Schizosaccharomyces pombe: one gene and its partners. Changing the gene in region 1 together with any one later gene gives a genetic interaction. Each region holds a gene or a part of one and is shown in the gene's direction. Other genes may lie near its edges.

The links.
Region 2: mutations in deg1 (region 1) and ppk15 together harm fitness less than expected from each alone (positive genetic interaction), as found in Schizosaccharomyces pombe (one large-scale study listed by BioGRID).
Region 3: mutations in deg1 (region 1) and rdl2 together harm fitness more than expected from each alone (negative genetic interaction), as found in Schizosaccharomyces pombe (one large-scale study listed by BioGRID).
Region 4: mutations in deg1 (region 1) and urm1 together harm fitness more than expected from each alone (negative genetic interaction), as found in Schizosaccharomyces pombe (one large-scale study listed by BioGRID).

Annotation. Positions count from the first base shown.
Region 1 is NC_003424.3:4,158,745-4,164,707, forward strand, and holds deg1 (tRNA-pseudouridine synthase), read left to right. Parts: upstream 1-3,974; 5' UTR 3,975-4,055; coding exon 4,056-5,408; 3' UTR 5,409-5,463; downstream 5,464-5,963. Other genes in the region: phosphatidylserine decarboxylase Psd2, read left to right, coding at 84-1,634; splicing suppressor Mss51, read right to left, coding at 2,108-3,244; dia4 (serine--tRNA (Ser) ligase), read right to left, coding at 5,534-5,855, 5,913-5,963.
Region 2 is NC_003424.3:2,581,497-2,590,417, forward strand, and holds ppk15 (serine/threonine protein kinase Ppk15), read left to right. Parts: upstream 1-3,676; 5' UTR 3,677-4,258; coding exon 4,259-4,447; intron 4,448-4,494; coding exon 4,495-5,910; 3' UTR 5,911-5,978; downstream 5,979-8,921. Other genes in the region: tif303 (translation initiation factor eIF3c), read right to left, coding at 1-1,480; tom6 (uncharacterized protein), read left to right, coding at 2,367-2,406, 2,445-2,551; SNARE protein Tlg2, read right to left, coding at 7,367-7,779, 7,832-8,324; transcription factor TFIID complex subunit Taf3, read left to right, coding at 8,817-8,921.
Region 3 is NC_003424.3:3,836,425-3,844,021, reverse strand, and holds rdl2 (thiosulfate sulfurtransferase Rdl2), read left to right. Parts: upstream 1-4,551; 5' UTR 4,552-4,641; coding exon 4,642-4,740; exon of another isoform or gene 4,741-4,864; coding exon 4,865-4,916; exon of another isoform or gene 4,917-4,965; coding exon 4,966-5,185; exon of another isoform or gene 5,186-5,251; coding exon 5,252-5,309; 3' UTR 5,310-5,362; downstream 5,363-7,597. Other genes in the region: SPOM_SPAC4H3.09 (type II fatty acid synthase subunit), read right to left, coding at 1-7, 88-256, 445-606; SPOM_SPAC4H3.08 (3-hydroxyacyl-CoA dehydrogenase), read right to left, coding at 1,581-2,441; SPOM_SPAC4H3.06 (uncharacterized protein), read right to left, coding at 6,022-6,082, 6,132-6,211, 6,271-6,454, 6,503-6,573.
Region 4 is NC_003421.2:218,787-228,208, forward strand, and holds urm1 (ubiquitin-like protein modifier Urm1), read left to right. Parts: upstream 1-4,547; 5' UTR 4,548-4,598; coding exon 4,599-4,621; exon of another isoform or gene 4,622-4,664; coding exon 4,665-4,817; exon of another isoform or gene 4,818-4,900; coding exon 4,901-5,010; exon of another isoform or gene 5,011-5,066; coding exon 5,067-5,074; 3' UTR 5,075-5,300; coding exon of another isoform or gene 5,301-6,386; 3' UTR 6,387-6,536; coding exon of another isoform or gene 6,537-6,857; 3' UTR 6,858-6,973; downstream 6,974-9,422. Other genes in the region: wtf meiotic drive antidote Wtf4, read right to left, coding at 2,413-2,558, 2,609-2,671, 2,712-2,903, 2,940-3,230, 3,279-3,551, 3,780-3,915; ubiquitin-protein ligase E3 Dbl5, read right to left, coding at 5,301-6,386, 6,537-6,857; hexose transporter Ght8, read right to left, coding at 7,971-9,422. UniProt on the Schizosaccharomyces pombe protein: Acts as a sulfur carrier required for 2-thiolation of mcm(5)S(2)U at tRNA wobble positions of cytosolic tRNA(Lys), tRNA(Glu) and tRNA(Gln).

The DNA of each region.
Region 1 (5,963 bases):
TCTAGGTACTTTTTATATTTTTTTTACAAGTTTTCAATTTTAGATTTAGCATACCTAACTAAGGAAATTTATACCGATCAAACATGCGTCCTCGTCAAAGATTTCGTCGTTTTCATCCTCGTTGGTCAAAAGTTAACCTTCGAGGCTTCGGTGGTGTCGGCGCTTTGAAAGGTGTTAAGGCCCTAAATGGAATGAACGTACGCGTTTCCATGAGATTAAAATGGATCTCAAATCGTATCCATCGCATTCGCAGGAGTCGCCGCTTGGGGCGCCTTTCTATAAGTGTCCGTCCTAATGGTTCCTGGCAGGTATATTTATTAAGCTCTCTTCCATTAAGGAGCCTTTCTCGTGTCTGGGGACAATTTAACAGAGCTCATTTACCTACTTTTTTGCGTACACCCGGATTTAAACTATATGCTTGGGTTTTTGGATGCAATTTAAGCGAATTGAAGGATCCTGATTTGACTCATTACCGTAATTTTCAAGATTTCTTTTGCCGTGAGCTTCGTCCAGAGACTAGACCCGTTGATCCTGTTTCTCCTGTCGTATCACCGGTAGATGGCCGTATCGTTTGTCAGGGAGTTGTCGATAATAATCGAATTCAGCATGTCAAAGGTCTTTCTTACTCTCTTGAAGCTCTTTTAGGAGGTATATCAAGTTCGAATCCTTTAGTCGTCAACTTTGAGGATGAAATAACTCCTGATCTTATTCAAAAGCACGAGCAATTTGCTGAACAACACTCAATTTCCTTAAATTCTAATAACCGCTATCGTAAAGCTGATGCTTCAGCTGCCGTTGTGGATGAACATTCTGACGAGGAAGCACTTCTTTGTGCTTTTACTGACCATCCGCATTTTTATCTTAATGACTCTCGTAATTCCTTAAATTATTTCTGTCCCTTTTCTGCCTTTGAAGATATTTCAAATTCCGTTCGTAGCTCATGCGGAAAACGACTCTCTCCCTCAAGCAATTTCGATCTGAATAACCTTGGAGGTGACGATGACTTGAGGAGTGAGTCATCTAGTGATTTTGAATCTGCTCCTGCTTCAATTCTTGAACACGAACCAACTAACTGGGATGATTGGGTACAAGAAGCTGACGTTACGGACATTGACTCATTACCTTGGCACAATATCCGTCCTGGCAATAAGCTGTTTTACTCTGTGATTTACTTAGCACCAGGTGACTATCATAGATTTCACTCTCCTGCTGATTGGGTTATTGAATCTAGGCGTCACTTTTCAGGTGAACTCTTTAGTGTTTCTCCATTTTTGGCGCGAAGACTACACAACCTTTTTGTGTTGAATGAACGCGTAGCATTATTGGGTCGTTACGAACATGGATTTATGAGTATGATTCCTGTAGGTGCAACCAATGTGGGTAGCATTGTCATTAATTGTGATCCTACTTTATCTACCAATCGCCTCGTCTTACGGAAGAAGTCATTAGGTACGTTTCAAGAAGCAGTTTACAAGAACGCTTCTCCTGTTTTAGACGGTATGCCAGTTAGTCGTGGCGAACAAGTTGGTGGGTTTCAACTCGGAAGTACCGTTGTTTTGGTATTCGAAGCACCTGCCGACTTTGAGTTTTCCACTTATCAAGGCCAATATGTTCGTGTTGGAGAGGCCCTCTAAACAGGATAAATCGGGATAATTTTTATTAATCGCTGGATTATCCCTGATATAAGTTATTGTTAGTATGAGAATGTGTGTATTCTAAATAATCATTTGTATGTGATGAATTAATTAAATTAACCCATTTGCTTTTGATCTTCTTTTTATTTAAATTGATATTGCGTTTATAAACCCATAATTATAGTTACTATTTACTTAATTACATTCCAATTTAAAGAATTGACACCCAATAAATTTATTTTATTGATACACCTTTAAAGTAGTAATGAAAATGTTTAAAAATAAGTATGGTTAGCTTGTTTTGACATAAGGTGGCATGTCTTCTTTTCAAAATTCGTAATTGATAATCATTACATATATACTAATATTTTGTTTATTCACAATCCAAAATTTGGACCTTAAAATTCATTAATAGATTGCTTTTAGATTAGAATATGAAATTGGAAGATGGTAGACGACTTAACGGACAAGAATTACTCTTTGGAAACATTTTGGACATTATAATAAAGGGCTCTGAATCCAAATACTTCTTGATTTGCGTGATAAACTTCATGAAGGTTTGAATCATCAACAGACCAGCCTAAGCTGGCAAATTTATTAACAGTTGGCAATAACAAGGGCTCAATTGAATCTTTCAAAACATTATTAAGAACTTCCAAATCTTTGGTTGTTCTTTGAGATGAAGGACTTGTGAGCCATACAGAGCAACGAGTCGATACCAAATCGTGAAGTGTCGGAATCCACGATGAAGAATAAAGTGGATGACTTATAAGAGGCATCGGAAGAAAAAAAGTATCATAGTAGGGGTCAAAAGGCTCAAAGGCTCCAACTCTATGCAAATTGTGGTAGTAATCCTGATGAAAATGAAGGCTGAGTGGGGAAGGCAAATTGGGTTGCTTAGAAGGAACAACAACTTCAGGTCCGATAAAATGCAATTGAAATAAACGACCTGGGAACAAAAAGTTCAATCCTTGTAACCAAATTGATGGTGGTAATGAACATTCTTTGGTAGCACCCAAAACGAAAATTCTAGTGGGTCTGGGATCAGTAGATTGAGCAGACAAAGGACGATGAAGCATATATCGTAGAGCAGTTAATGATTGTAGACCCTGGGGAGTTAACCCATTTTTTAAATTATAAGGAGAATTCTTGTGAAGGATAGCGCCGATTGACATGGGATATGTTAATAAACTAGTAATATGTCTAGCAGTTCTAGACGATTGGAACTTTGGGAAATCGCGGGTATAGAAGAATGAATCCCATGACAGAAGAGAAACTACTTCATCTTCTTCCATGGGTCCAGGAAGTTTGAGTAGTTCCGGCAAAGGGTTTGGTCGTGCTAAGTCATGATAGTCTTCATTAATTTGGCGTAGTTTTGGGATAAGGGATTGGTGAATCTTGTCCTGTTCCCAATGAGTTCTATTACAATGAGTAGGAAATCCAGATTCAGGACACTCATATTCCACTGACTTTCCCGAAATTGGACACCGATAGACTTGTTTGATATGCTCAGAGCGACGGCGAAGAGCCGTTAAGGGAGAACGCGATAAAGGATGGAATAATTCATGAGTTGGGGATTTCTTCTTGAAGAGATTTTTTAAAAACGACATAAGTAAAAAAAATATAAGCGAAACGTCACTCTTGAACCAAAAAACAACCTTCTACCGGTTTCAATGTAACTATAGGTAATGAAATAAATTTTTATGTCGGTGTTGCAGCTAAATTTAACAAGTATTGATTTAGGTGAACGTGTTTAGTAGCAGACGAAGAAACTAAAATTAAAAATGTCAAGGAACATAAAAAATACGTTAACAAGGCAAACTATTGAAATGCTTAGTAAAAAAAATTAACAAATTAGTTCGTAGAAGCAATTGCTTTGTTCATTAGCAACCGACATTCAGTAGCGAATTTTATTCTTTAAAAAAATATTAAGTATTGAGTTGACTCAACAAAGAGGTGATTTTCAATAATGTTGATATTAAAGAACTATCTAGTAAATCAATTGCATAACGGGAAATGCACTTTCTTTATTGGAAGTCTACAATGCAACTATAAGGAATACGAATCATCTCGAAAGTAGCTGTGTTAATCTAAGCTTCTATAATTTTCATTGCTCGTAATGTAAAGTGAACTCAATATTTTAGTAACAGTTCCAGCTGGCCCAACAAGACTGCAAACTGACCATACAGAATCCCAAAGCTGTTGTACTAATGAGCAACTAAAAATATATCTGATAAATTCTCAATGTTACATAGATGATTTATAACTTTACTGCGAAAATGTCTGCCTCTTATGACAAGCAAGTCATTAATTATCAGAGCCTTGCGAACCTATTCGTCTGCCACCTGACCTCGTCAAAGGCAGTAATTAAATTGGCAATATAATTCAGGCAAGATTTTTCAATTTTCTAAAATCCTTCGAATGCCCGCCTCCAAATATGCTGGATGGTCTCGAGACCAGCTAATATCCAGAATTTTAGAATTGGACGGGAAATTGCAAAAAAATACAAATTCACTTCCCAATAAAGAAATTGAGGGGAAAAATGAAGTAATTAAAAATAAAAACAAATTGGATAATGGAAATGAAATAGAACCCCAGCATCTGAGCCAAGAACTAGTTTTGCAACATGCGCTTCAGGACGCAAGTAGTCTTCCAAAACTGAAACCTGTCAGACCGTTTCAACTAGAAAAAACAGTTTTTGTTGCTTTTAAATTTGCCTATTGTGGTTGGAATTACAATGGTCTTGCCTACCAGTTAGAACCGACTCCTTTGCCCACTGTTGAAGGAAAGGTGTTTGAAGCGCTGTTGAGAGCTCATCTCATCACTGATCCTTCATCATGTTCCTTTAGTCGATGTGGACGTACTGATAAGGGAGTTTCAGCCATGGGTCAGGTTATATCATTAAATGTACGACATTCAGAAAGAAGACCTATCATATATTGTGATGTATTGAATCGCCTGTTGCCCGCAGATATACGTATTACTGGCTATGCATTTCCACCAGAAGGCTTTGATGCTCGATTTTCCTGTAAACAGCGTCATTATAAATACTTGTTTACTAAGGATTATCCCGGTGGTTCTCTTGACATTGATCGAATGAATGAAGCCGCAGCACTTTATCTAGGTGAGCATGACTTTCGAAATTTTTGCAAAATAGATGCTTCTAAACAAATTACAAATTATCACCGTCGAATTCTCAGTTCAAAGGTTATTTGCATTGATCCCAGTACCGGTCTTTACGCTTTTGACCTACAAGGAACTGCATTTTTATGGCATCAGGTACGATGTATGATGGCCATTCTATTTTTAATTGGTCAAAAGCTTGAGCCGGCCTCTCTCATCAATGATCTTTTGGATATTAAAAAGGTCCCTACTAAGCCAATTTATGATATGGCAAGTGAGTATCCTTTGATTTTGTACGACTGTGACTTTGATAATATTGAATGGACACTACCTACGGATAGTCCTACGACTGCTCCTCGTATCGCTAAACATACATATGAAACCATATATCATCAGTGGCATAGTCTACGTATTCGAGAGCAGATAGCTTCGTTTATGCTTGACATAGCAGATCATAATGTAAAAAGATATGGCAAATCGGAAGAGTCAAGCAGTACTATGAACGTTGGTGAAGGATTGCTGAAGCGAACAAAAAAGTACATCCCAATTCTTTCTAGACAACGTCAGGAATCAGTGGAGGTCGTCAATGAAAGATATAAACGTAAAAAAGGTTTAAAAGACAGTGACGTGAAGAGTGAAAATATTAAATAGATTGTCTTATGACAGAACAGGTTTTAGGTTAATTGCTAATTTTATTTTGGTCCAAAATATATTATCAATTTTAGTATAACCTTCTTAAATAATTAGTTGTAAGTAAGACTTATGATGTACTAAAATTATTTTGCTTTAAAAAGGTATTCCTTGTGTATGTAAGGGACAAGGGTTTCCGGAACTTTAACAGTGCCATCCTCTTGTTGGTGATTTTCAAGGATAGCTATTATTAACCTAGGGATGGCAGCTGCTGTGCCGTTCAGTGTGTGAACAAAACCCGAGTCTTTGTCATTTCGATATCGTGTGAGTAGACGCCTAGCTTGGTATTCAAGACAATTAGATGCTGAAGTTATCTCCCCGTATGATTGTCGCGCTGGCATCCACGCTTCGATGTCATATTTTTGAGAGGCCGAAGATCCCAATTCCGCAGTTGGCATATTCAAAATTCTATATTCGTTAGCATTAGATCATTAAAGTGGTATTTTTGTTAGATTTGATATGTACCTTGCGGGTATTTTTAAAGTTTCTACAAACTCTTTTTGAAAATTAACAATC
Region 2 (8,921 bases), 1.6 Mb from region 1:
GGCTTCTGACAAGAAGGGTATAAAGTGACGTTTCATCCTTCAGACGGTCAATATATTCAGGAGTATGAGGATCAATCATTTGAAGAGAACGAGTAAATTCATCATCCAATCGTTCTAAGAAAGAGACTACACTACCTTGAACTTGTATGACTCCATTATTATTTTCCGCCGCAGCTATCGCTTCCTCCTCTTCTTCATTTTCATCTTCTACCTGTTCAACAATAACAATTTTGGGGTTTGCATCAAAGATGTCAAGAATACTGTGTAACTCAGTAAGAGCGGCATTCCATTGATCAATAGGCATGTATTGTCCAGAGCCAGTGTTTATATCGAATCTAACCGCCAATAGGGCAACTTTAACGCGAAGACGTTGATAATCAGTTACGGCTATAGTCGAGAGTTTTTCTAGTAAACGAATTTGTTCAGAACGGTCAGTGCTTTTCTTACCGCGAGCTTCGAAAATAGCTCTGAGATACTTGAAAATATCTGCAGGTGTAATTTCTTCTGGTTTTCCTAAGCCCTCAGTAGGTGCAACTATACCACGAGTAGCTACACCATCAACAATAACTTCATCTTGCCCAGCCTTACCGGCAGGCTTGGGAATTTCGTTTAATTCTGCTGGCTTCATGAAACCTTCAGGATCCTTACGGTATCTATCAATATCACTTTGAAACTGACGGTTGTTTTTACGAACACGCTGTTTTAAAGCGTTGAACGCACGGCCGTTAGCAGCATCCAAACTTTTGATAAAGGCCTTATCAGCGGACTCGAGTTTTTGATCAAGAGCAGACAAGAATTCGATGTACGGAGGAGGATTTCTGCCGGCCTCTTTGCATTTTTGAGATACTTTGTTCAAATGATCAAATTCATTAGAAACAACAATCCAGTTGTTTGAACTCATAGCGTTTTTAATAGTTTCCATGCAGCTAATAAACTCTTCATAGCGTTTATCTTTAGCACTTTTAACAACACGACGACCCTCTTCCTCATCACTACTTTCCTCGCTGCTTTCACCACGGAGAAACTTAAGACCAGCGGGTTTGGCCTCTTCTTTTTCGGGTTTCTTTAAGAAACTAGAAGGGCCAGAACGTTCAGATTCATCAGATTCCTCTTCAGATTCAGATTCCTCCTCAGACTCAGACTCGGACTCAGACTCGGACTCAGATTCATCAGAAACTTCGCTATCCTCTTCGGATTCAGTCTCTTCTTCCTCTTCTGAGCTTTCAGAGTCAGATTCAGAGTCTTCGGAAGCAGCCACGGCCTTTTTCTTGGGAACCTCTACTTCTGACTCTTCGCTTTCAGACTCTTCTTCAGATGATTCGGACTCCGAACTGGATGCGCTTTCCTCTTCACTTGATTCTTCTTCAGATGAAGAGTCATCTTGTTTCTTCAACCTTGAAGAGGTTAAACGGTTTTCTTCAGAGGAGTCAACGGATTCTGCATCGCTGTCGCTAGAGCCTCCCTTGAAGAATCTCGACATGTTGGTGGTTGGCAAGTTTTTTTTCGTGCAGCAGTCAAAGGAAGGGTGAGGACCCCCTTCCACCTTTTTGAAAGAGGTATGTTATCGTTAATAATATTTTGTGTCCGTTAAAGTGGATTAACGTAATTTGTTATTTAATAAATTTATCCAAAACTGTCGGCAATGAAAGTTTAGAAAACTAAGAAGCATGGGGTTTATCGATTTTGACTTGATAGAATGTCATGATTCTTTATAAGCAATTTCGTATCACAAATACACTCAGAAATCATTAACGCAGTTGCGGGACAAAAACTGTACATAATCAGCGTCAGGTTGTTTATAGAATTACTTTTGATGAATGAAATACGCTGAACAATTTAATTATGAGGAAGTGATTATATTTTCCATCTAACCAAGTGTATACTCACTTTGCTTCCTTGTCGCAAGCAATTATCTGCTTAGCAATTAATAATCCGAAAAAAATAATCGTTTATTTATTGAAAGTTTTAATTGTCTAAATATTGATGCTCTTGAGATGTACATTTGTTAAGAAAATGAATTAAATTATTCTAACCCCTCCCCCGAAAAAAAAATGAAAAAATACTAAAAAAGATAATGATTATGGAAAATTTTAAAGGAAAAAATTTGTTTCCGCAGCGCTACTCTTGATTATTTCGTAAGACCAAGTAAACTAAATATAAAGCGTTTTGTCTTAAAAAACTATTGCAGTATAGAATGTTTCCTCTACTGCAAAACAAAATCCATACAGCTAGCTCTTAGGGTTATCAATTAGGGTTATTGAAGCCATACATTTTACCTGATCACTGTTTATGGCAGCGATCACAGTCATGTTAAATTACGTTACAAGTCGGTATTTAGCCACGTTCCTTCAACCACTTAGTCAAAAATGGATCGCATTTCTGCTCAAAAAGATATTTTCAAAAAGGGTATGTCCCTGTAAAACTATTAATTTAACATCTTTTAGTCGTCAATAAGGAAAACTCTTCCATTTTCGTGAGTCTTGGCGTATTTGCAGTTTCTGTAGCCATCTTGAAATCCAGACTGGGAAACTTTTTGGTACCACAATTGTAAATGGATGTTTGAATTTCACGGACTAAACGTCTTCAGCTTTGGATTCAGAAAAATATTACTTCATAACGTTGTATGGTTGTTTCATAAATAAAATGAACTCCCAGTTTCAATAAAGGTTCAAAGCTAAACAACATATATCTTTCATGAATATCATTGTGCTTTGTAATTTTTGTTAGCGATCTAAAATTTGAAATATTTATGTTATCTAGTGTCATGCGAAGTACGTAGGAGCATTAGTTGGTAGGAACATTTTTACATATAAGCTAGTTCGATTCTGATATCTTGCGTCTATTTATGTTTCCTTAGATGTTTGAAGTCAATAACCAATATTCGTCCATTCACTACAGATTTTTGTGTGAACATTGGACTAGGAACCATTTCGTTTGTCGTTTATGCGAAAATTTTTATGTACGAATGTAGTCGGCGTGGAGAATGTTTTAACAACGACTCCTTCATTTACAGATAGATGCCAAACAAGAAACGTTTTTCCTCCTTTTAATATCCAACCGGTTACATGGTTGTGCAACATCCAAATATACTAAGTATGGAGAATATCCGTTTTTTCGAAAAATTGCTACTATTCTGAATTAAGGATGCGTACTATTGGTAAACATTGCGCTTGATGTTTCGAATAAGCCTTTCAATGGAAGTTGTTTCTTATTTATCGCGGTTATTGGTATAGACGGATGTTTTGCACCAAATTCATTCGTCTTTTCAAATACGAATTGATTTCGTTGTGGAGAGTAAGAGCAGGAACCTTAATGTAAGCGAAATTATCGCCTTCTTAAGTCATGTCACGGAAACCTGAAACAATATTTAATTATTTAATTGGGATCTAAGATCCAACTATTTAATAATATAAGAATCAAAAGATCCTCTTCTAGTAACTTTTTCTTGTATTTTTTTGCAAGCCAAAGTTTTAATGACGGCCTTTTAATTCATTGATACACTCTATTACGTAATAGATTGAAAATCAGTAAAACTGATTAAGGCATAGCAAGCAATTGTACTTTATTTCAGTCATCGTCAGCGCCGTTACACGCGGCTCACTACAAAGCGGTGTGTCGTCATCCCTTTCCTTCAGATTCCTCTCTATCCTTTAACCAAGCCGCTTTTTTTGGTTAAATCCTTCATCTTTCAATAAATTGCGAAATCTCTCAGTGTTGTTTTTCGTATAAATTTGTAATTTATACGGTGGAGTTGATTAGTTATTCGTTCAACTCGCACTGTGCATATTTATCGGCTTATTTTAGTGAATATTTTCGATTTTCTGCCGAATATTATATTTGTATTTGTAGCTACACGCTATAAACAAGAAAATTAGAAGATTCCTCCAAATTCATATTTTAAGCTTCATATCCACAAGTGTTTCCCTTTGTTCCAGATCGAGATTATCGTAAGCGAAACTAGCTCTTTGTCAGTTGTTCCATTAAATTGATTAGCCGGTTGGTGCGTTCATTTCAAACTCTTTGACTTTTTTCCTTTAAAGCACTTCTTTTTTAGATTCCTTTGGTTAATCTGTCAACTACTACTTTGTAAATAGTATAACTTGTGGTTCCTTTTTGCACTGTTGTGCATCGACTCACGTTCCAAGAGATCACTATTTTACGTTACTTTAAAGTGATTCGAGTGTGAATGAAGGCACTCGTATTCTGCCTATACTGATATATTCTTTGCAATACTTTACAAAAAGGCGTCTCTATTCATATGGATTCGGATTCGCCCATTCTTCCATTATCGAACAATCCTCCTGCTGCGAGGACTCATGATCACTCGCAGCGTAATAATCATGCTCGTCATGTCTCGTCTTCTGGAACAACTTTGTTTGCTCCTGTCAAACCGGCAACCAAGAAATACAATTACAGAAGGGTGTCTCCCCATGGAAGCTATATTAGCGTACGAAATTTTTTACTTGCTCTGCATTTTACTAATTAAACATATAGCCCTTAGAAGCAATGACTGTGAAACTAGCTGATACATATTCAATTTGTAATCCAAAATTCCAGTTTTCTTCCGAACAAAACCCTCGGAGACCACTCACCAAACCCAGTGAAGGAGTTCACAACCATGGTTTTGATAACGTCAATCATGATTATGTATTGTATGTTAACGATTTGCTAGGAACGGATGAAGGCCGTAAATATTTGATTCTCGACACCCTGGGGCATGGCACATTTGGTCAAGTTGCTAGATGCCAAGATCTTAAAACCCAACAAATTGTAGCTATTAAAGTTATCAAAAATAAGCCGGCATTTTATAACCAATGTGTGATGGAGGTTTCTATACTAGAGCTCCTTAACAATAAGTACGATCCAGAAGACAAGCGCCATTTAATTCGTTTATATGATCAATTTATGCATAAAAATCATTTGTGTCTCGTTTTTGAGTTACTCAGTATTAATCTTTATGAGCTTATCAAGCAAAATCAGTTCCGTGGTTTACATTTAAGTCTTGTTCGTTCTTTCGCAACGCAACTTCTATCGTGCACATCTCTCCTCAAACAAGCTCGAATCATACATTGTGATCTAAAGCCGGAAAATATCCTGTTGCAGGATTTATCATCACCGATTGTGAAAGTGATAGATTTTGGTAGTGCTTGTCACGAACGCCAAACAGTTTATACCTATATTCAATCGCGATTCTATCGCAGTCCGGAAGTAATTTTAGGACTACATTATAACTGTGGAATTGATATGTGGTCTTTGGGATGCATTTTAGCTGAACTATTCTTAGGTCTTCCCTTGTTCCCTGGAAATTCCGAATATAATCAATTATGTCGGATTGTTGACATGCTTGGTAATCCTCCCACTTGGATGTTAGAAATGGGTAAAAATTCGAAGAAATATTACAATTCTGGTTTTGTAAACGGTAGAAAAACTTATGAGCTTAAATCGATCGAACAGTTTTCTATCGAAAACAACAAAACAGAGCAACCTGGAAAACAATATTTTGGTGAAAAGACACTCGATGCTATTGTTTTAAATTATCCTCGCCGAAAAACCACACCTAAGCTTACTCCTGAAGAACATGAAGAGAGACTTTGTTTCATCGATTTCATAAAGCAGTTTTTAGAGTTAAATCCTTTGAAGAGATGGACTCCTGACCAGGCGAAAAATCATCCTTTTATCACAGGTGCCTCTTTCAGTCAATACTGCATTGACAAACAAAAACCACTGCTTACAACTCAAAGAACGAGGAACCGTTCTCATACTATTGGAAATCAAGCGGTGGTTCCTCCTTCCTTACAGCGTGCAAGCACTTATGTTTCCAACGAACCTGAAGAATTTGTACATACTCGACCGCTGCCTCAATATTATCCTCCCGCTAATGAGAACGAAAATGTAGATGAATTTTTCTAATGTCATATTTTACGTATAGAAACATTCAAATTTATTTAAAATATTTAATAGGCATGATCCATTCCAAATTTTTTTTTTATGTTGTACCAATTTTCTAATAGCTTTCGTAAAACGTTTTCAATTTTCATAAAGCATTCAAACTTTTGATGATATATACATACTACGAATATTTTCAAAGTTCCTTCGAGGCTTCAATATGCAGTTTTCAATAGTAAATAGTATAAAGCATTTACAAATTTAACGCTATATTTAGCGCTACGGTAAATACTCTATGTAGAGAGGTTTTATACTTTTATGTAGTAGACATTCACAAATCGCCAAAATGAAATCAAGTTCACTTGAAAATGGGACTCTTGCTAATGCGGGTGTTTACGAAGATGATCTAGATAGCGACGAAGAATTGGTCTCAGAAGAAGAATTTGAAAACTTTAATAATGAAGATTCAGAAGACGATGAAGACTCAAACAACGAATCAAAAACAGCTAAAAGTCGTATGTTAAAAATTCTTTTATTTTCTTAATTAATATTTACTCACAAATTTGAAGAGTTAGCTGAGATTCCGTTTGATACATTGTTGAATGCTCAAAGGGACCTGCTTAAAGAACAGCAAAAAACAAAGATAATGACAGAAAAAATATGAAACATACTGAGAAAGTTGACAAAAAATTTTTGGCGAAAGAAAGAAACACGCCCCTCAAGAATTGTCAAGTAAAAAACCAGTTTCTCGTTTTCGCGAAGTAATATCTGAACCAAAAAAATTTACTCGTGATCCCAGATTTGACTCTTTATCGGGAAACTTAAGTAAAGATAAAGTGAAAAAAAATTACGGCTTTTTGAATGAATACCGAGTATCGGAAATCCAGCAATTAAGAGATGAATTGAAGATTTGCAAAGATCAAGAACGGGCGGAGAGTATTCGACAAACTTTAAAGTCTTTACTTTCTAAGATGGAGAGACATCTCGAGGAGGAAAGGGCCGAACGTGTCATGCATGAATTCCGTGCTCAAGAAAAAGAAAGGGTTAAAGAAGGGAAGAAACCGTTTTATTTGAAAAGGAACGAACAAAAGAAGTTAATACAGATGGATAAATATAAATCTATGGAAGGGACAAAGGCTTTGGATAAATACATTGAGAAAAAGAGAAGAAGACGCGCTCAGAAAGAGAAAAAACATCTTCCAAGAGCTAGACCGTCTGCGAACTCACAGAATAAGTGAACTAAATTGTATCATTATTGGATTTGGGAAAATTTTTATTAATCATTTCACTATAAAAAATGATGTTTTATTGTACATAAATTTAATCTGTATGTAAAACTGTTGTCTTTTAATAAAGAAAGAAACAAACCTGATTTATTTAAGCATAAATTAAAAAAAGAAAACCTTCTTTTTCGTAGAAAATATTAAATTGGTCATTCATGACTAGCAGCATGGTATTAAAGTGAAATAGGGTAAATGAATTACCGAAGCAGTTTAATTGCCAAAATGACAATTAAAGCAACGATCAGAAGTATTAGAAAACATATAAACCGAAGCCGCCCGGTATTTTTTTGGTGAGACTCCGCTTTTATTAACTCCTTTTCGGCAGATTTTGCATGAACCTGTGTTTGTTCAATATTGAAATCAATACGATCTACTAATGCTCCTTGTTCAATAACAAGCACTTGTAAGTCTTGAAACATCTGCGCTAGCTCAATAATGCCTTCAGCGATCTTGGCAACAGCTCTTTCATGTCGTATAGCTTGTTCGTCTTCTCCTTGTTCTTCCATTAAGGCAACTTGTTGTATAGTAGATTGTGAAATTGCAACGTCGGATACCGTCTCGTCGAGCTTTGACTCTACAGGAGATATGTTGGCGTTTAAACCACGAAGTTCTAAAAAATTTGGGGTCAGTACATTTGTTAAGGAGAACGCGGGATAACATACTCTTCAAATAAGTAGATTGCTTTTTTCTAAACTGTGCACTTTCAGTTTGGATTCTGCTAGCTAAATTTGATAAGAAATTTTTAGCCATTAGAGCTTCTGAGCCTGTTGCAGAGTTTGTTTGAGCTTTGGTAACTTGGAGAAGCTTCTGACACCTTTGGAAATCTTGTGTAATTTGAATGGTTAATCTCTGTATTTCATTCTCTTGCTCAGTTTTGTCGGAAAAGCTAGGTAATACATGTTTAGCATATTGCTTATCAAGCAAATTAATATTTCTTCGTGTATTTAACAGCAGACTGTCTATTTCTCCTTCAACTGTTACCCATCTAGGGGCAAGCATGTCCATCTCTATTACAGTGTTATCTTTATTATCTTTATGGACTAAACTCTGCCGTTCTTCTTTAGGGTCCCAACCCGACAATTCCAATCGTTGCCCATGATGAGAGTAGGATTGTCGAAAAGTAATGTACAAACCCGTACGGTCTCGATAGGCCATTAGATAAGAAACAGGAAGAAAGAAATATAGTAGAGTAAGTAATAAAACTGTTTTCCACCTGTAGGCACACTAATTTCGAAAACACCTTTTTTATAGTGGTTCTTCCCAGCGTGAGAAATAAATGAAATTATTTCAGTATTCAAACTCAGTTTCTATTGTGACGACTTCAGTCTTATTTCCAGCATAAAGGCTTCTTAAACACTTGGTTTGTAATTAAATTGATACTTGAGTTTTTGTGCTCAATGGGTCTCAATCGATGTGATAATTTACAAATACAATATCGATGTTGTGTGAACCATTAAATCTATTTAAAATTTGTAGTATGTATCATTATGCAAGACTAACGAGGCGCTGTGTCTCCACTTTATTCAATTCCATGAGCTAGCTTTAAAGGTTGGAAGTCCCCTGCAACATAAAAACTATACTGTGAGCTGGTATAGACATTACTTGACTTTTAATAAGTCTATCGTTCGATTTATCTAGTTATCGGAGATGGAAGAAACACAAATTGACGAGCTGTATTTCTCGCTAATGAGGATTTTCTGTTCTCAGACACTTCGCGCAGCTGGCATTGACCGAACGAAGGTTTCATTATTA
Region 3 (7,597 bases), 320 kb from region 1:
TATTTTGCTGTATAAAGTTAGTACGTAGAAGCAGTAGGAAAAGATATAGGCTAGACGCTACGTTTCAGGAGAAAAAAAAGTTCATACCTTCGGGGTTTTTTGTAATATACGAGATGGCATCCCCGACTGAAGTAATTTCATCTGCATCCTTATCAGGAATTTGAATGCTAAATTCTTCTTCGATAGCCATAACGACCTCGACAGCATCTAAAGAATCAAGACCCAAGTCATTCGCAAATGTTGATGTAGGTGTGACCTGAATGGTTAGAGAGAATGCATAGGGGTAAAGAGAAAAAACAAAGATAACATTAACCTAAAAAATTTTTTCGTAAATTCAAGCCGACGACTTTTACAATGAGTCTTGAAATTGGAAATAACAAAAATGTTAAGATCCAAAATTACACATAGAGTGAAAAAAAACAACTGAATGAATGCAAAACATACCTTTTTAGGGTCCTGAATTTTGTCAAAGGAAGAAACAACTTTAAGGATTCGTTTTTCAGCATCAGGGCGAGCAACGCTATAAAATCGCAAAGGTTGAAATTTGGGAATCACCGGCCTAACTGCGGAAATAAAGCGCAACTGGGAAGAAAAACGGGAAAGCATTTTATTTCTAAACAACTAGCAAAGCACTTAACAATGAATTTGCAATTTCCGCTATTATCTTTTAATAGGTGGTAGATGACAAAGATGATGATGTCCCACAATTGTATTAGAATACGAATGGGTAGGCTAAGAATGAGATAAGGATTCGTTACAACACGTTAACTGGGTATTTGAAATTTGAAATTTAAGAATATTAAATGTTTGAGTATAGTAACTATTTAATTTTACTTTAGTCATCATTTTTTGTAGAATAGTTAAATATTTTTCAACACTCTACTCTCATTGTCTTGGAAAATGACTCATGCTTCTCTAGTTACTCTGTTTCTACCATTTTGACAAGCACGTGTATGGCAGTATATGAAGAAAATAACAATTTGGTATTCCAACTTTTTTTTAATCAAATGATTCATACTAAGTTAGTTAGTCTTTAATGAAAGAGCAACGAAGAGTGAATTAATTACAAAGCAGGGGGAAGGAAATAATAATATTTTCCTCAGTTGAAAAAGAGTATCTATGTAAATTTTGAATGGATTTCCTACCTGCACAAATGCATTTCAAGGAGTTCATACAAGTATTTAAATGCCTAAATAAGAGATGATTTATGAACCATACAAACTTGTTTTACAATAGCTTAAGGACAAAAAAATATTTTTAGTTAGTCACTGTTTACAGTGTATAACCGTAGATATCCGTAATTCTAAAGGTATAAATAAAATCATAAACATTCTTCATGCTATGAAAGCAAAGATAGAGGAAATTAAAAGGTTTCTTCACTGTTCATCCATTTCCATATACTGGAACCAAAATAGCTATCATAAATCATGCATTGTCTTCATGAGAATGAACATCTCAAAAGTATATGAAAGTACAACTTCAACAATCATCCGGATCAGCAAAATTAAATTGCTGCATTATTCATTTCAAACCAAAAAAGTAATAGACGACAGTAAATGAACGTCGTCTTCCTTTAAAATTTAATTGTTAATCACAGTTCCACCGTTAGGATGAAGAGTTTGGCCTGTCATGTAACCACCATCTGAGCATGCAAGGAAAAGGTAGCAAGAAGCAACCTCAACAGGCTGTCCCATACGTCCAAGAGGAACTTGGTCAGAAAGTTCAATCTTCTCCTTGGGAAATGTGGAGCTAACGAGAGGTGTGTAGATGGGACCAGGAGCAACGGCATTCACACGAATACCATGCTGCGCATATTGATTGCTCAACCCCCGAGTAAATGCGGTAATGGCACCCTTAGTGGATGTGTAGTCTAGTAAATCAGGTCGTCCTACATAAGCGTTGATGCTGGAACAATTGACAATTGAACTTCCGCTCTTCATATGCGAAATAGCGGCCTTGGTGACCCAGAAAAAGGAGAAGATGTTCGTTTTAAAAGTGAGATCCCATTGTTCATCGTCGATATCTTCAATGGATTGAGCGACCTGTTGATATGCGATGTTGTTCACCAATACATCGATCCAACCCAGCTTCTTTAGAGCAAAATCAACCAAATCCCTACAGTTATCAGACTTGTCAAGTTTTCCCTCCCATATCCAACAATTTCTTCCTTCACGTTCAATTAAATCTCTCGTAACTTCTGCATCGTCTCTTTCTTCTGGAAGGCATGATATAACGAGATCAGATCCCTCTCTGGCAAACATCACCGCTGCTGCTTTACCAATACCAGAGTCTCCTCCTGTGAGCAATGTCTTTTTCTCTGCAAGTTTCCCTGATCCGACATGTACCCGTCCATCACAATATCTGAGAAGTGATGGTTCAGGATCTAAGTCGGCATGCTTGCCAGGCCATTTTTGAGTTTGTGTGCTAGGAACAGGATCCATTTTATTAATGTTTTTTTAATAAAGTCGCAGTTATTTAGTTAGTTAGTCAGTCGTAGTAAATTGGAAATATATTAAGGCGCACGTCTATCTCTATATATAATATATTTTTTTTATTTTTTGTCGGAGAACATCCATTTACGTTTCTATGTCATAATCCCCTGATGTATAGGAAATGAACGTAATTTCGAGAGAGAAATCCATTCTCGACAATCTATTCATTCCGCCTAATATTTTTATTCATTCCGCATAGTACTAGAAGCGTGGGAACGGTGTTCCGCCGCTTTGCAATCTCTTTAATTGATATGAGTTAACTTTATACTTCATCCGCCTGCGATTCAAGGTTCGCTTGTATTCAGCAGTTGCGGCTCGATCAGGAGTCTCGTAATCCAGGATTTCGTAAATTATGGCATTGTGATCATGGATCATTAAAAAAAAAATTAAATGTTGTAAAGGTGAATTGAAACGAAAGACAACCATCATTTCAAGCTAAACCTCAATCCAACATCCAAAGAATCAACTAAGACCTAACCGGTATTCACTCTTTAATATGATATCCCCTCTTTATCAGTGATGTTTTCGGGTATCGCAATTATGAAGTAAGTCATTCTTCATAATATTTGATTTCGATGGAAAAAAAGCGCAAAAAAAAAAGAGGAAGAAAATATTAACTAAATCAAAACAGTACGTAATTGGTATTCACAGTTGGATTAAAAGTCTGCTTAAGGAAATTAGCTATTAGCACTAGTTAGCTATGATCAACCGCCGACTGTTGTATTCGGTACCGAGCGACAAGGTTGGTACAATAAGGGACTAAGTGAATGAATGAAATTAATGAAAGCGAATGAATAAGGTAAATATTAATTTAATGGGTGAATTGTAAATAAATTATATTGAGTATTCGAGTGAAACAGATGAACTGTATCGAATTAACCGTTCATATATTTGTCCATAAAAGATTGTAAACCAGAGAGGTATCTTAAACACTGAATCTTACTGACCTTCATTTTTACAAGTTTTTATTTTCCTTCATCCATTGCAATCATTCATTTCGGATGATTGAATTGGAAAACATTGCCAATATGATTATTTAGGTTCATTATTTTATATATTTATTTATTGGCATAAAATTTTTACTACTAGTTTTTCTGCCGCTAAAAGAAACAATAATTTATTCTAGATATAAATTTCTTTTTTTATTTTTTATATTTTAATGGACGCATGTGAATCACTTTTCCATTTGAAATTTCAATTTTCAATAATATGCTGCTACCTTAGAACTTGCAATATTAAAATTGATGCGAAATCTTAGTAAACGTAATATCATGTGCAATACAATCAAAAGTGATTTGAACTGTGACCTAATATCAAAGGTGGACTTACAACCTGTTTTCTAATTGTACTGGCAAATTTAAACATCATGCTTACGTTAAACCTAGCGTTTCTCCATTGCGAGAATATCAGCACTCATAAAAATTTGTGTACTGTGATTTTTTTCCTATTACATTAGCATTGAAGCATGCCATGACATTACAGTACAGTGCATTTCAGGCCCGACGAGAAAAAATAAATAAATAAACTTACGTATACATCTATATAAATCAGCGTCGTATGAATTCCTGTTTTCTCCTAATGATAAAACAAACAACTGTAGCTCAATTGAAAATTAGAGTGCTTGTTTCTGTCAGTGTATTTCCAACAAACATAATTTTATGAATAACAAATTATCCATAAAATGCTTTTTGGTAAATCCATATGCTACCTCCATATAGTAATATACACAATTAAAGATCCGCAATTTTAAAGAACTGTGCCAAAGACGTACGTACAGTTCTATTCTATGAACTTATATACTGAATATGTAATTGTTTAAAAGTGAAACATAGAAAATGCGGCAACTTCATTTTTCCCGATGGATGAATCGCTCTTTTCTTGAATAGTAACTTTAAAAACTACCGTTTTAAAAAAGAAAAATATTATTGAAAAATCTCGAAAATACAAAGATCCATTTCATTTATTGATTCCTCTGAACACAAGCCCCTATAACACTTCAAACCTGCCGATTTCGTAATAGCGATCGTTCATATAATCATACTACTCACCGATCACGCTTATACCACTACCGTCAACTGTGGGAATCTGAGATTTAACCTGCCTGCTGAAAGGGGCCATCTAGCTGTAATAAACCTTGTTTTCACCCATAATGTTTTCTAAAACTCTTTCCGTATCTCGCCTCCTGATGACCCGCTCTTTCTACAGTTCTACAGTAGTTAAGAATGTCAGCATCTTTGATTTCGAAAAGGTAAACCAACATAGGAATACGTTTGCTTTCATATGCGATGTTTTCTGGTTAAAGCTAAGTTTTACACTTCGCTACTCTACTCTCCAAGTATTTTGGAATTATTAACGGTACTAACTTGAAATAGGTTTATAACCTTAGTAAAAGACCAACTGGCGACAAATCCACCGTTTTAATTGGTAAGGACAATACAATAGTGAGTTAAAACTTATTCTGCTAACATGTCAGACGTTCGTGAGCCCGATGAATTTAAGCAAGGTGCAATCGAAACTTCTTATAATTTACCTGTTGGAAAAATCGAGGAAGCCATGAAACTTAGTGACGAGGAGTTTTCCAAGACTTATGGATTCAGCAAACCCGTTTTTGAGGACAACGTTGTAGTTTACTGTCGCTCTGGTAGAAGAAGTACGACCGCTTCTGACATTCTCACCAAACTCGGCTATAAAAAGTATGTTTGTATAGGTGAACAATTCCACTTAATTTCGAGAACAGTGTTCAAAAACTAACCTTTTAGTATTGGAAACTACACTGGCTCATGGCTTGAGTGGTCCGACAAAATTAAGTCTAAGTGAGGGTAGACTCGAACGCTTTCCAGCCTTCTCACCCATTACGTTACCTTTTAGTTTTATATGTAGTTTAAGTTTCTAGAGTTGAATGCATGCATCGTATGCTTGCTCACCATTTTTAGATGATAAGTAAGGTGTACTTAGAAAACAAAAACAATTTTACTGCAATGTAACAATAAGGTGAATTGAACTATGATAAGTTACTTACTCAAGCGATTTATTCCTTCGCATTTCTATTGTCAAAGACTTCGACGAAAGGGTAAAGCTGTAAATACATTGGAAGCTATTAATATGGGAAAATATATTTTGAGACAGTCATTGTAGTTAATTCCGGGTTTAGAAAGAACACCTCCAAATTCAATTAAACTAGGGAATACAGTTCAAGCACGTGTTAAAGATAACTCTAAGAAATTAGTTTTCGAACAACCAGGTGGAATTAAAATTGATGGGTTTTTGACATTTAAAGGCTTGAAGAATACTATTCATACCTTGCCGGTTTGCTCAAAACGCGAATAACATTTTTTTCTTTTGCACTGAATGTTACAATCTCAATTACAAGTATGATTAGAAAGGAGACCTTTGAACTGACTGTCCCCTAAATTTCTAATGTAGAATTTTTACTTTCTCTAAATTTAAGAAAATTCAGAATCATACTTCATAATGTTACTCTTGCTAAAGAGAAAACTTGGATATGCCATAGTAATTAAACCAATTTTCTTCATATTTCATCCTTCATATTTTGTAAGATATCGTTGATTTCTTTAGAAAGTGAAGAAAGTCTAATAATTATTTGTTAGTTATATCTGGATAATTCAATTTTCAATTTACCTAGCTTCCAATTCTGAAATTTGCGTATTCTCAACTGGTGAATTAGTAGAAACAACTTTTAACTGCTCAAGTTTGACGGTCTGCAAATATTATACATTGTAAGTAACTTGCATAGAAAGATTTATGAAAAAAAATTTACCGCTTGTAGCTTAGAGCGCTCTTTTTCCTGTAAAGAATCCACCAATAGTTTAAGCTCCTTAGTAAGAGATGCTTGATAGTTTCGAATATCAGAAGAAACTTCATTTAAACCTTCAGTCACCAGTTGAACAATTATGCCCATTTGCTCAAGTCCAATTTTTTTCTCTTGATTTGCATTGAGAGCACTACCTTTGTTAGACCTATTTTATTTATATATCTTTGAAAATACTTACTCCTCCAGTTCTTTGTATAACTGAGCTCTCGTTTCTTGAGCTCGCAATATTTTATTTACAGTTTCCTCCATATCTGGTAAATGATACATTAAGAGTTAATTGTCTCAGATATATAGTCCACCTTTGCAATCAAGTAAAACTGTTTGTAATTTTCCTTCGACATAACATACTTATAGTAATATGACTCTTATTATTTATAGTTATTGTTACAAAATATAGTCGTTATTAAGTAATTGAATCATATTCTAACACAGCGTATACTATAGCAAAAAAGATTCAGAAAAAACGTTTTCTATAATGAAAAGGATTGAATAATTAATTAATTAACTGTCCAATTTATCAGGTTTCCAATGTTTTGATTTACAAGTACAAACTTCAAGTGAATGACATTTAAGAGGTCTATTAGAAAAGAGCGTGTTAATAGACCTAATTCTTTTTGATGGAAAATATCTATTAAAACATATGTCTACGTCGTGTGTACCTACTGAAAAGCCTACTGTAATAACTAATCCATTTTGCTATTCACAATGTTCAAACAATCTTTGACAAGTTAATATACGTCTACACGTGACAACTTTATTAATATCCTATAGTTCAATACCATCAACTATTTCCCGAATAACATTTGAGATCCTACTAAATTGTGAATTGTTCAGTCTGGTCAAACATGGAGACATAATGTATAATTACAGATTAAATAGCAGCACTAAAAGAATCAGAAGTATAAGAGGTTTTTACCTTAAATAAATTGATTGAGAATTATAATTTTCTGTAGGCTATCTTCTCTGATTGCCTCTTTCTTACTTTGGTTAAGCAAGACAACCCCTCTGTACTTTCCATATAGAAGCTGCAAAACCAAGGTTTCCTCTCCTTTCTCATAGAATATCTAGGAGGATTGTCTGCAAATCTATGTAGAACATCTGTATCTCCTCGGCTTTGACATGGCTTTCTATGGTTTATACTGTTCATATCTGCACATTCACATTTGTTTATCGTATACTCAAATCAGACATCAGAAAGACTTCTTTATTTCAGTGAATCCTTCCTGATTTCATACTTCAGCCTTTGAAGGTATGACCCATGAATTTCAATGAG
Region 4 (9,422 bases), on another chromosome or scaffold:
ATTAAGAATCAGGATGAAAGAGAAATGAATGCAATAAACGACAATGAAATTGTGAATACAACAAGGAGGAACAGCGAGTTTTCCAATTTCATTAGTTGATGATAACAGTCAATTAGTGAACTGCTATTTTAAAACGAATAAATAAAACCATTATTTTAATATTCAATTCCCAGTGTATGTTATCCAACATCGCAGAATCTTTCAAGCAATGCACTTGCTCATCCATTTCGTCAGGAAATGAAATCATGCAATAAAAATACATCTGAAATACTCTAAACACATCATGATTTGTTTGGTAAATCACAATTATATAGATGCTTCTTTCCATTGCACATTCTTGTAGAGAAGTTTCGTGAGAAAAGCGCCTTTATAAATCAATAGTAAAGTTAGCAATATAATTAGGCTTCATTTTCAGGGTTCATCTCACGTAACGGAATAGCAGTGTATTCATTCACGTGTTGTCTGGCATCACGATCTAAAAATAATTAGTAAACACATTTAAAGTACACTTCTTTTTATCATCTTTACCGCAAGTTGTTGCAAGTCTGGTCAGTAAATGCGTAGAGCAAGATCCCGGTTCCACTATGTTGTCAGTATTAATTTTGTTTAGTAAACAACAAACCTGTTTCAGCAATGAATATGAGAATGCTTGATACAGCCATGAAAGTGAAAGCGGATGCCGAGCATTTCCATCCCCATTGTTGATCACCTAAATGTGAACTCAATTTGTTTACACCTTTTAATAAAACCAAGCAAAAAATAGAACTTTTACAAAAAGCAAAAAACATGTTTCTCCACTTCTTTAAAAAGTGCTTGATTCCTTTTCCGCAAGCCTTGACACATTGTGCCAAGAAAATTACAGTTACTTTAACTGCCTTGGTCCAAATTTCATAGAAGTCTAATGAGTTAGTGACTGAAGGTAAGAATAACCCCATCGTCTCACTTACAAGTCAAGAATATTAAAGCCAAAGTGCAAACAAGACACCAAAATCCAAATAATGTCCATTCCGCTGCACCATAATTTTTAAAAAAAGCGTCCTTATACTTTAGATAACAAACTGCTGGAGCATTGAATAGAATGATTGAAGTGAATGATATTAGCAGTTTTATCAACAAAGGGGAAGAATTATCTGTCGACCTGGAAGGATTGTTTTCTCTATGTGTGTTAGGAGAATTGCTTAAACGTGCATGATCTGTTTAAATTAATATGATTGAAAGACTTTAGTTAAGAAAAAGCATGTATCAAAGTGTGTGCATTGCATGGCCAACTGTAAACAATGACCAAAGCATGCAATTTGACTACGATGGCAAGCTTCAACTTTCAATTGAATAATTCCTTTCTTATTATTTACAATTCTTACCTGAATATGGAGGCAATGTACTTTCCTCCTCTGAATCATATTCTGGGAGGGGTCCTTTTTCCAAATCAATTTCATGATCTGTCTTCAATTCATCTTCTTCATCTATAGAACTTTTCAAGGAAGTGTAATTATTCTTCGTTTCATCAAGATAATTCTTTATTTAACAAAACACATGCGCGAATTAATTGCTATGATTGCGACAAACGAAACAGCAAAATCAAGAATATTCACTCTGGAGTTCAGTTCCCGCCGTTCAACATAAATAAATGAGCAATAGTCGTTTCAAAGCAAACTGTTTTTTCAATAATAGCAAGTGAAAAGTAAAATTCCAAAACTCATTTTCAAAATGTAATTGCTTCTGACACATTTATTTTGTCACTGCCCTTCTTATTCACCCCAACTTAGATTTCCTTATGCATCATTAAGAAACTCAACATAAAACCAGTATATACGTTTACTGCGTTATTACATACTCACTATTGCAATATGTCTTTAGGTTATTACGATAACAAATCATCGTTCTGAGTCACAATATTTTATTATGCTATTCATTATTTCGTAAACATTGAAATTTGTTTGTATTAAAGTAAACCATTAAACAAATGGAAAAAATGATAATTAAGCTTGATTCATTAAGAATCAAGATGAAGGAGAAATGAATGCAATAAACGAAAATGAAATTGTGAATTTAACAAGGCGGAACAACGAGTTTTCCGATTTCATTAGTTGATTTTAAGTTGTCGTAAACAAGTTAAACCATTATTGTTTGTAGCGTAGAGTATCATTAAAAAAGACACATAATTAGACTCGCATACATAATAAATAAAGACTTCGGTCCTCAATGCACATTATCCAACATCGTAGAATGCATTGGTTGGCAATTTTTGGTAATTGAAAGAATGAGTTAAGCTTATATCTCACAAACTTATAAGGCAAGAGAATAATTAAAGTATGTTGGTGCTTATTTTTAAAAAACGCCGCAGCTTCTCTGCGTTGGTGATTTTGGTAAAGAGGTTTTCCAACTGGAGCGACAACCACATTAATAAAGCAATTAGACTTCGCTTTCAACATCCATTTCTCCCAAGGGAATGTCATTATTATCGTTGGCACCTCTAAACGCATTTCCTATCCGCCCAATTGCATTTCCTATCCCTCCAAATGCATTTCCTATCCCTCCAAATGCATTTCCTAAACCTCCTAGTCGGGTAAGTAAAAAATCATTCATACAGTTGGTTGAATACACATACCTAGGAAAGAAGCTATACCATTCCCGATAAATTTGGGCATCCTTTTGAGAGCACCTGGACGTTCTGGTATGGTTAGAGTAAATTACAGGAATATATAACGAACCCATTTCGTAAAAGAAAAGAAAATTTCCTATAACAAAGAGTGAAGAGGCTTCAATTTCGTAGCCTGTCGCGTCGATATGTTTATCAAATAAATACATCAAACCTTTCGTTACAATAACGACACAACTTTGTACACCCAGCACTTGAAACAAACCAAAAAGCATATGCTTGAGTGTCCAAATTGGAATACAAACTGTATGTTAGCGTTTAGCAAGATAATTTCACTTACCAAGCAATAAAATGAAAAATAAAGCAGCCGAAATACTGCATGTGGAACAGATGAGTGCCTTATTTAAGTTTAGTCTACCATCCTTGACGCAACCAAAGAGTATAAAACAAATGACTACCCATGCGAGCCAGATTGTAACCACCAAATCTTTTTTTGAGTTATACAAACCGACCGCAATTACCTTTACACATTTTGCCAAGAAAACTGCAGTCACCTTTACACATTGTGCCAAGAAAATTACAGTCACCTTTATACATTGTGCCACTGCCTGGGTCCAAGTTTCAAAGAAGCCTAATGAGTTAGTGAATGGACATATTAACAACTTCATGCATAGCTTACAGAAAATAACAATAAACACTATTGGACATGTTATACCAATTGTGACGGAGAAAGCTACCTTGCCGAATATCGACTTCTCCAACGGGTTTACACAAACCCATGCAGTAAAAAAGACAACAATAACTGCAAGAACTGATATTAGTAGTCTCAGAAGGGAATATATATTTGGATGTGAATCTTTGAATTCTTGTCTTCTTTCGACATTGGGATTTGCAATTTCTGTAGGTCCTGTACTTGAATCCTCAGATACAGTTTTAATATATTTCCAAATTTCTGAAAGCATTAATAAAATAAATAACTTTTGAAATTTGGTTTTTTTTTTTTAAAATGATGTAGAAGGAAGAAAGTGTGTGCCCTGTTAGACGAATTTATGCTCGTAATATGTCAAGTTGTAAACAAACAAATACAACAAAAACATTGTAAATCAAAACAAACAGACACAGCAAATAATCCTTGACACACTCAATTCTTTATCTTATCCACCAACAACACAACACTTACCTGAATATGGAGGCAATGTGCTCCCATCTTCTGAATTGTATTCTGGGAGAGGACCTTTTTCCAAATCAATTTCATTATCGTTTTTTGTACTCAATTCATCCATAGACGACCTCAAGGGATAATCTTTATTCTTCATTTCTTAGAAACAATCTATTATTGAATGATATACACACAAATAGTTCAATTGTTGTGATTGCGACAAACGAAACAGCGAAATCAAGAATATTCACTCTGTAGTCCAATTCCAACCACTTTAAAGACTTTTTAACAAAATAATAAAATTGTTCAAACAAATTTCCAACTAATTCCTTCAAACAATGGCATAAAAAAAGAAGAACGAAAAAACTGAACGAGGCAGTGGATTGCTTCTGACACATTTATTTTGTCACTGCCTTTTTTATTCACCCCAACTTAGCTTTCCTTAAATGTAAGCTACGCAGTTTGGTATCTGATTTACGGATACGTAGAACTGCGGTGAGGTTTTTAGTAATTTCAATATAGCGGTATGCGCCCTGTTAACTAACAATATTATATTTATTGTTATAAGAAGTCTAATAGTATCGAATACCAATATATCTAATAACTAAACTGAGGAATCGAGTCAGCAGTTGTTATCAACGGGTATTCATAATACGGTGGTTAGCGTGTGACATATAATGATACATAACGTAGTGAGTCATAAAACACGCTAAACAGATACCAAACTGCGTAGCTGACATGACACTGAATTTCTATCACTCTTTAACAACTACAGTGGAATATACAGTTAGAACGTACATTTTGCGTTGCTTTCACGAATCCCCAAAGTTTTAAAAAACAATGGCTATAAAAGTAGAGTTACTGTAGGTGTCATATTTTATTACAATTGGTAACCTATTATTGTAGAGGTGGGCTTGACTTGCTCTTCAATAAGCAGAAAGCGTTGTCGTTGTCACTTTCAAACCTTGGCTCAACTAAGTTGGGATCATTGATTGATTATATGGCTCAAATAATAGAAAAGCCTTCTCAAAAAGATTTATTTATTTTAAATGGGACTGTGTAAGTGAACATGGAGTGGTATCATCTTTTTCAGGCTCAAACGATGTTTTAAATGATTTTGCAGAACTAACACTTCCCTGCAGACGTCCGGGGATCATCGTCTTAGTAAATGACCAGGATTGGGAACTTCTTGAAAAGGAAGAATATAACCTCGAAGAAGGTGACGAAGTTGTATTCGTCTCAACGTTACACGGTAAAACAATATTTAGCATTTTTTTTATAATATTTAAAACTAATTGTATCAACTAGGAGGTTAAATGGCAGGTATAATTATAAGACAAAACAAACATGCACAAATATCATTAGTATTGAATTTTTTTTTTTAGTCATAAATCCGACATGTATGCTAAATTTTAGTGTCTTATGCTCTAGAGACCCAAAATCCAAATCACAATTAAATCATTCATCATGAACAGAAACCATAGACCAGGTTAAGGTTACTTGATTTCTCGGTATAATTTTTTCTTCGTTAGAGTTGAGTAATTATGATTCTTCGTCAGAGTCTAGTTGTATTGTACGAGTTCGCCGAGCTTGCCGACGTGGATAGCTTGCAGTGAATACCTCGGAATAGGGTTCAAGATCAAATCCTCTATTCTGGCTGGATGATTGTGAACTACGGAGGCCTGTTCCATTAGTTACAATATTTCCTTCATCCTCATCTGATGAGAATGGATGTTGCCTGGAATGAATATTGTTATGAGAAGGAGAATTATTTGAGGAAGAATTGAGAGAATCCAAACTTTCATTCTGAATGTCAGCAAGCTCTCTTCGTAACTCATCGTATCTTTGCCCATCGTTATAACAGGTCTCAGATCGAGATACCATATTCGTCCCTCCAGAGTCGCGCTCTTCATCGAAGCCGTTCATAATATCAATCTCTTCACTATCTGTGCTATCCAAAGCAGTAATACCATTTCCATTACTTCCATTGACAGGAGCTACGAAGTCATCGTCACTTTCGACAGGAGATAATTGGCTTGTAGCACGATTATCTATAAATCCATCATCAACATCGTACTCACCTGGACCAGAAAAATCAGATTCTAAATCAGACCCCACAAATTCTTCTCCTTCGTCAAATCTCAGCCAATCTTGTGGTACTGCAGTTATTGGCGCATGTCCCATATTATTAAATGCGCGGTTAGTCGAGATATTCCCACCACGGGTGTTATCGCCATTTAGGCTGGAATCACTCTCAGCATTTTCTCCATCCCAAAACCATTCACGACCAGAATCTTGGTCATCCGATATTTGAAAACCGCAATGATCGCAATGGTACGGATTTTCCAATTCCCATTGGCAACGAGCGCATCGTAAAACTCCATCTTCAGAATCAACAAGGATACTTCTTGGGTAATGAGAATCTTCTTGTTTAAACATCCCATCAAACAATACCTCCTTTTGCTTCTTTGCTGGATTTTCATTGATTCCCACAAGTGGGAAGCCACTGTTTGAGGCAGCAACCACATTCATTATTTCATATACAAGATATGCTGGTGAAGGTTGTGTATACAGTTTTTGGCGACAAGTTGGGCAAGATTTTGACTCTTTTAACCAATTTAGAAGACACTATTTATTAGTTTCAATCCTTTATAGAAAAAAAGTAAATCTAGAAACTTTTAAAGATATAATCTTGCTCTTTCAATATTTCACTCACAATGAGGGAATTCAATGATAATGAAAAGTTATTCCAGTGTTAAGCATCAAATTTTCACTTACCTCGTAACAATATGTATGACCGCAATGAGTGGTAAAAGGTCTTTGTAAAGCTTCTGTGCAAATGGGACATTCCAGAGTTTTTTTTATTTTCTGGAACGTTTCGAGCAAAGTTTTTGTATCGGGGATTTGTTTTTTATTTTCTGAATTACTGCTAATGCGAGACTTTTTGTACATTTGAGTTGCATCACTAGACGCAAAAGTTGTGCTGTTGGATTGTGGAATTAATAGAACCTCCATTTTCTCATCGTCCAAGTTATTATTATAATTTTCTTCATCGTCTTCATCCAAAACTACTTGGCGATGAGAACTGCGTTTAACCATTGCGCCCAGACAGATAAATTACTATTGAACTTGGTATGTGAGCTCTAACGTTTCTAATCCGGAGAGAAAGCTTTATCAAAATAATAAGTTTAAATAAAATCCTTTAAAAAAACGAATTATATGCAAATTCTTCAAAGCAAATCAACCATTGATTTGTACTTTATATATTTCTTGTAGATGGCAAATACTCTGCGTATTGCAATGCAGCGGTTTACAACTGCATTATCAAATTCTTCTGGTATTATCATAAATATCATTTAGTGACTTGTAGTCAGTGTAATCTCGGGCATATGTAAATTTATTTAACGTTACAAAATGCGATTGCGTTCAACAAGCATGGCTAATAGCGTTTTCTTGTAGCTTGGATTTTTATGAGGATTATTCACAGATACGCACCGATGGCATTTCACGTATAGTTTTAAGTATAATATTTTCAACCATAGCTTTCAATGTTTCACTCTAAGTAGAATTGAACGTCTCCCGACTTAACTCGTAAATATCGTTGATTACTTACCGGAAACCTTTTTTTGCATCGTTCTAACCAGGTAAATAAATTGAACGAATGCTATTCAAAAACATTCAAGGATTAAATAACATATCAACAATTAGATACTACGCTTATTTACTGTTCAGCATACCTTTCTACTCAATGTCTACAATTCGCAATACACAAAACGATATGTAATAGCACATTAGAAATAAGGAACTGTTTAATTTTTGTTAATCCTTAACGAAAAAACTATCAGCATTTAACTAAATTATCTGTTTACATTATTATTAAAATTATAATGCAATCCCTGCCAGTTCCTCATCAACGCCTTTCCATAGTAATAAGGACCGGGCCACTCATAAAAACATTACCAGTTAAAAAGCATGCACACCAACTTAATATTAATATCTCTAACAGAAAGGACGGAACAGTTTGAATAACAACGACAAAGGAAATGCAAATAAAAAATAACTCTCAAAGTTGGCACAGCCAAAATCCAATTATACAATTCGATTTTAATGAAGGATGAATCAGCAAAAAACACATACTCATTAAAAAGAAATAACATTTAAAAACTACCGATTCGTGTAAACCGAAAGCATTGCCATTTTCGGTCAACAAACTTATGCGTAGCGATCTTGTTCATCAACATAGTTAGACTCAGGCTTAGCACGGCCTTCAGAAGAAGAGGTAGAAGATGTAATGTCGTTACTCGAAGTATCCTCCATACCCTCATTGTCAACGTTTTCAAGATGAGCGGCACTTTCACCTTGAACACCACGAGATTTTTCAAGAACCTCTTGTTGTTGCTTTGCAGCTTGTCCGAGATTCTCGGGCCTAGGCATCCAGGGCTTAGCGCCGGAGAGATACAGTTCGTTAATCTCTTCCAAGGTAAGACCTTTGGTTTCATGGGCAAACAAGAAAATAATACAAGCAGCACACAAATTACAGGCAGCGAAAATATAACCATACTTGAATCCAATGGAGTCACTAATGAAGGGAGTAAAGAAAGTAATAAGGAAACCCCACAACCAGTTACCAGTGGTAGCGACGGCAGCACACTTGGAACGATAACGAATGGGATACGATTCACCAACGATAACGTATGCGGCAGGACCCCAAGTTTGAGCAAAACTGAAAATGAAAAGACATGAGAACACAATCATAACGGCACCGGCACGATGGTTTGAGGTACCATTCTTACGAGTAAGAGCACGATTACCAACAGCTGCGTAAATGAAGAAAGTAATGGATTGCCAAACACCACCAATAATCAATGGCATACGACGACCAAAGAACTCTAGGACGAAAAGACCACCAAACGTACATCCAAAGTTAACGGCATCAAGAATCAAAGCAGAAAGATAAGGAGAGTTCATACCAGTACCCTCAAACACCTCGAAACCATAGTAGAAGTAGTAGTTATCACCGGTAAGTTGTTGAAGAGACATGACACCAAGACCAAGGAAGGTACGATAACGAATATCCGCACCTAGAATGTCACCCCAAGTAGCGGGACCACCGGCCATTTCAGCTTCACAGTCAGTTTTAATGACATGGTATTCCGTTTGAATAATTTCGTGTTCACGAGGAAGAACGTTGTTTTTGCACATAATGTCAAGAGCCTCTTCATCTTTACCAATAGCAATCAAATAACGAGGGGATTCAGGAAGGAAAGAAATACCGATGAACATGATAATACCCCAAAGCAAGTTAATACCCATGGATACACGCCATTGAGCAGTCTTGTGCAACTTGTGAGTACCCATGTTGATACAAGCGGCAATGAAAATACCACCAGTGACAGCCAATTGATAGGTGGTGACAATGGTACCACGAAGGGTAGCGGGAGCAACCTCAGATTGGAAACCGGGGGCAAGCACAGACAAGGCACCAATGGCAAGACCAGTCCAAATCTTAGCAACCATGATTTGGACCCAAGATGGGACAGCGGTAACTTGAAGAATAATACCAATCAAATAAACAATAGTCCAAAACATAATGGAAACACGCTTGCCAATGCGATCCATAAGAGGAGAAGACAAAATACAACCAGTCATAGAACCAACGTTAAC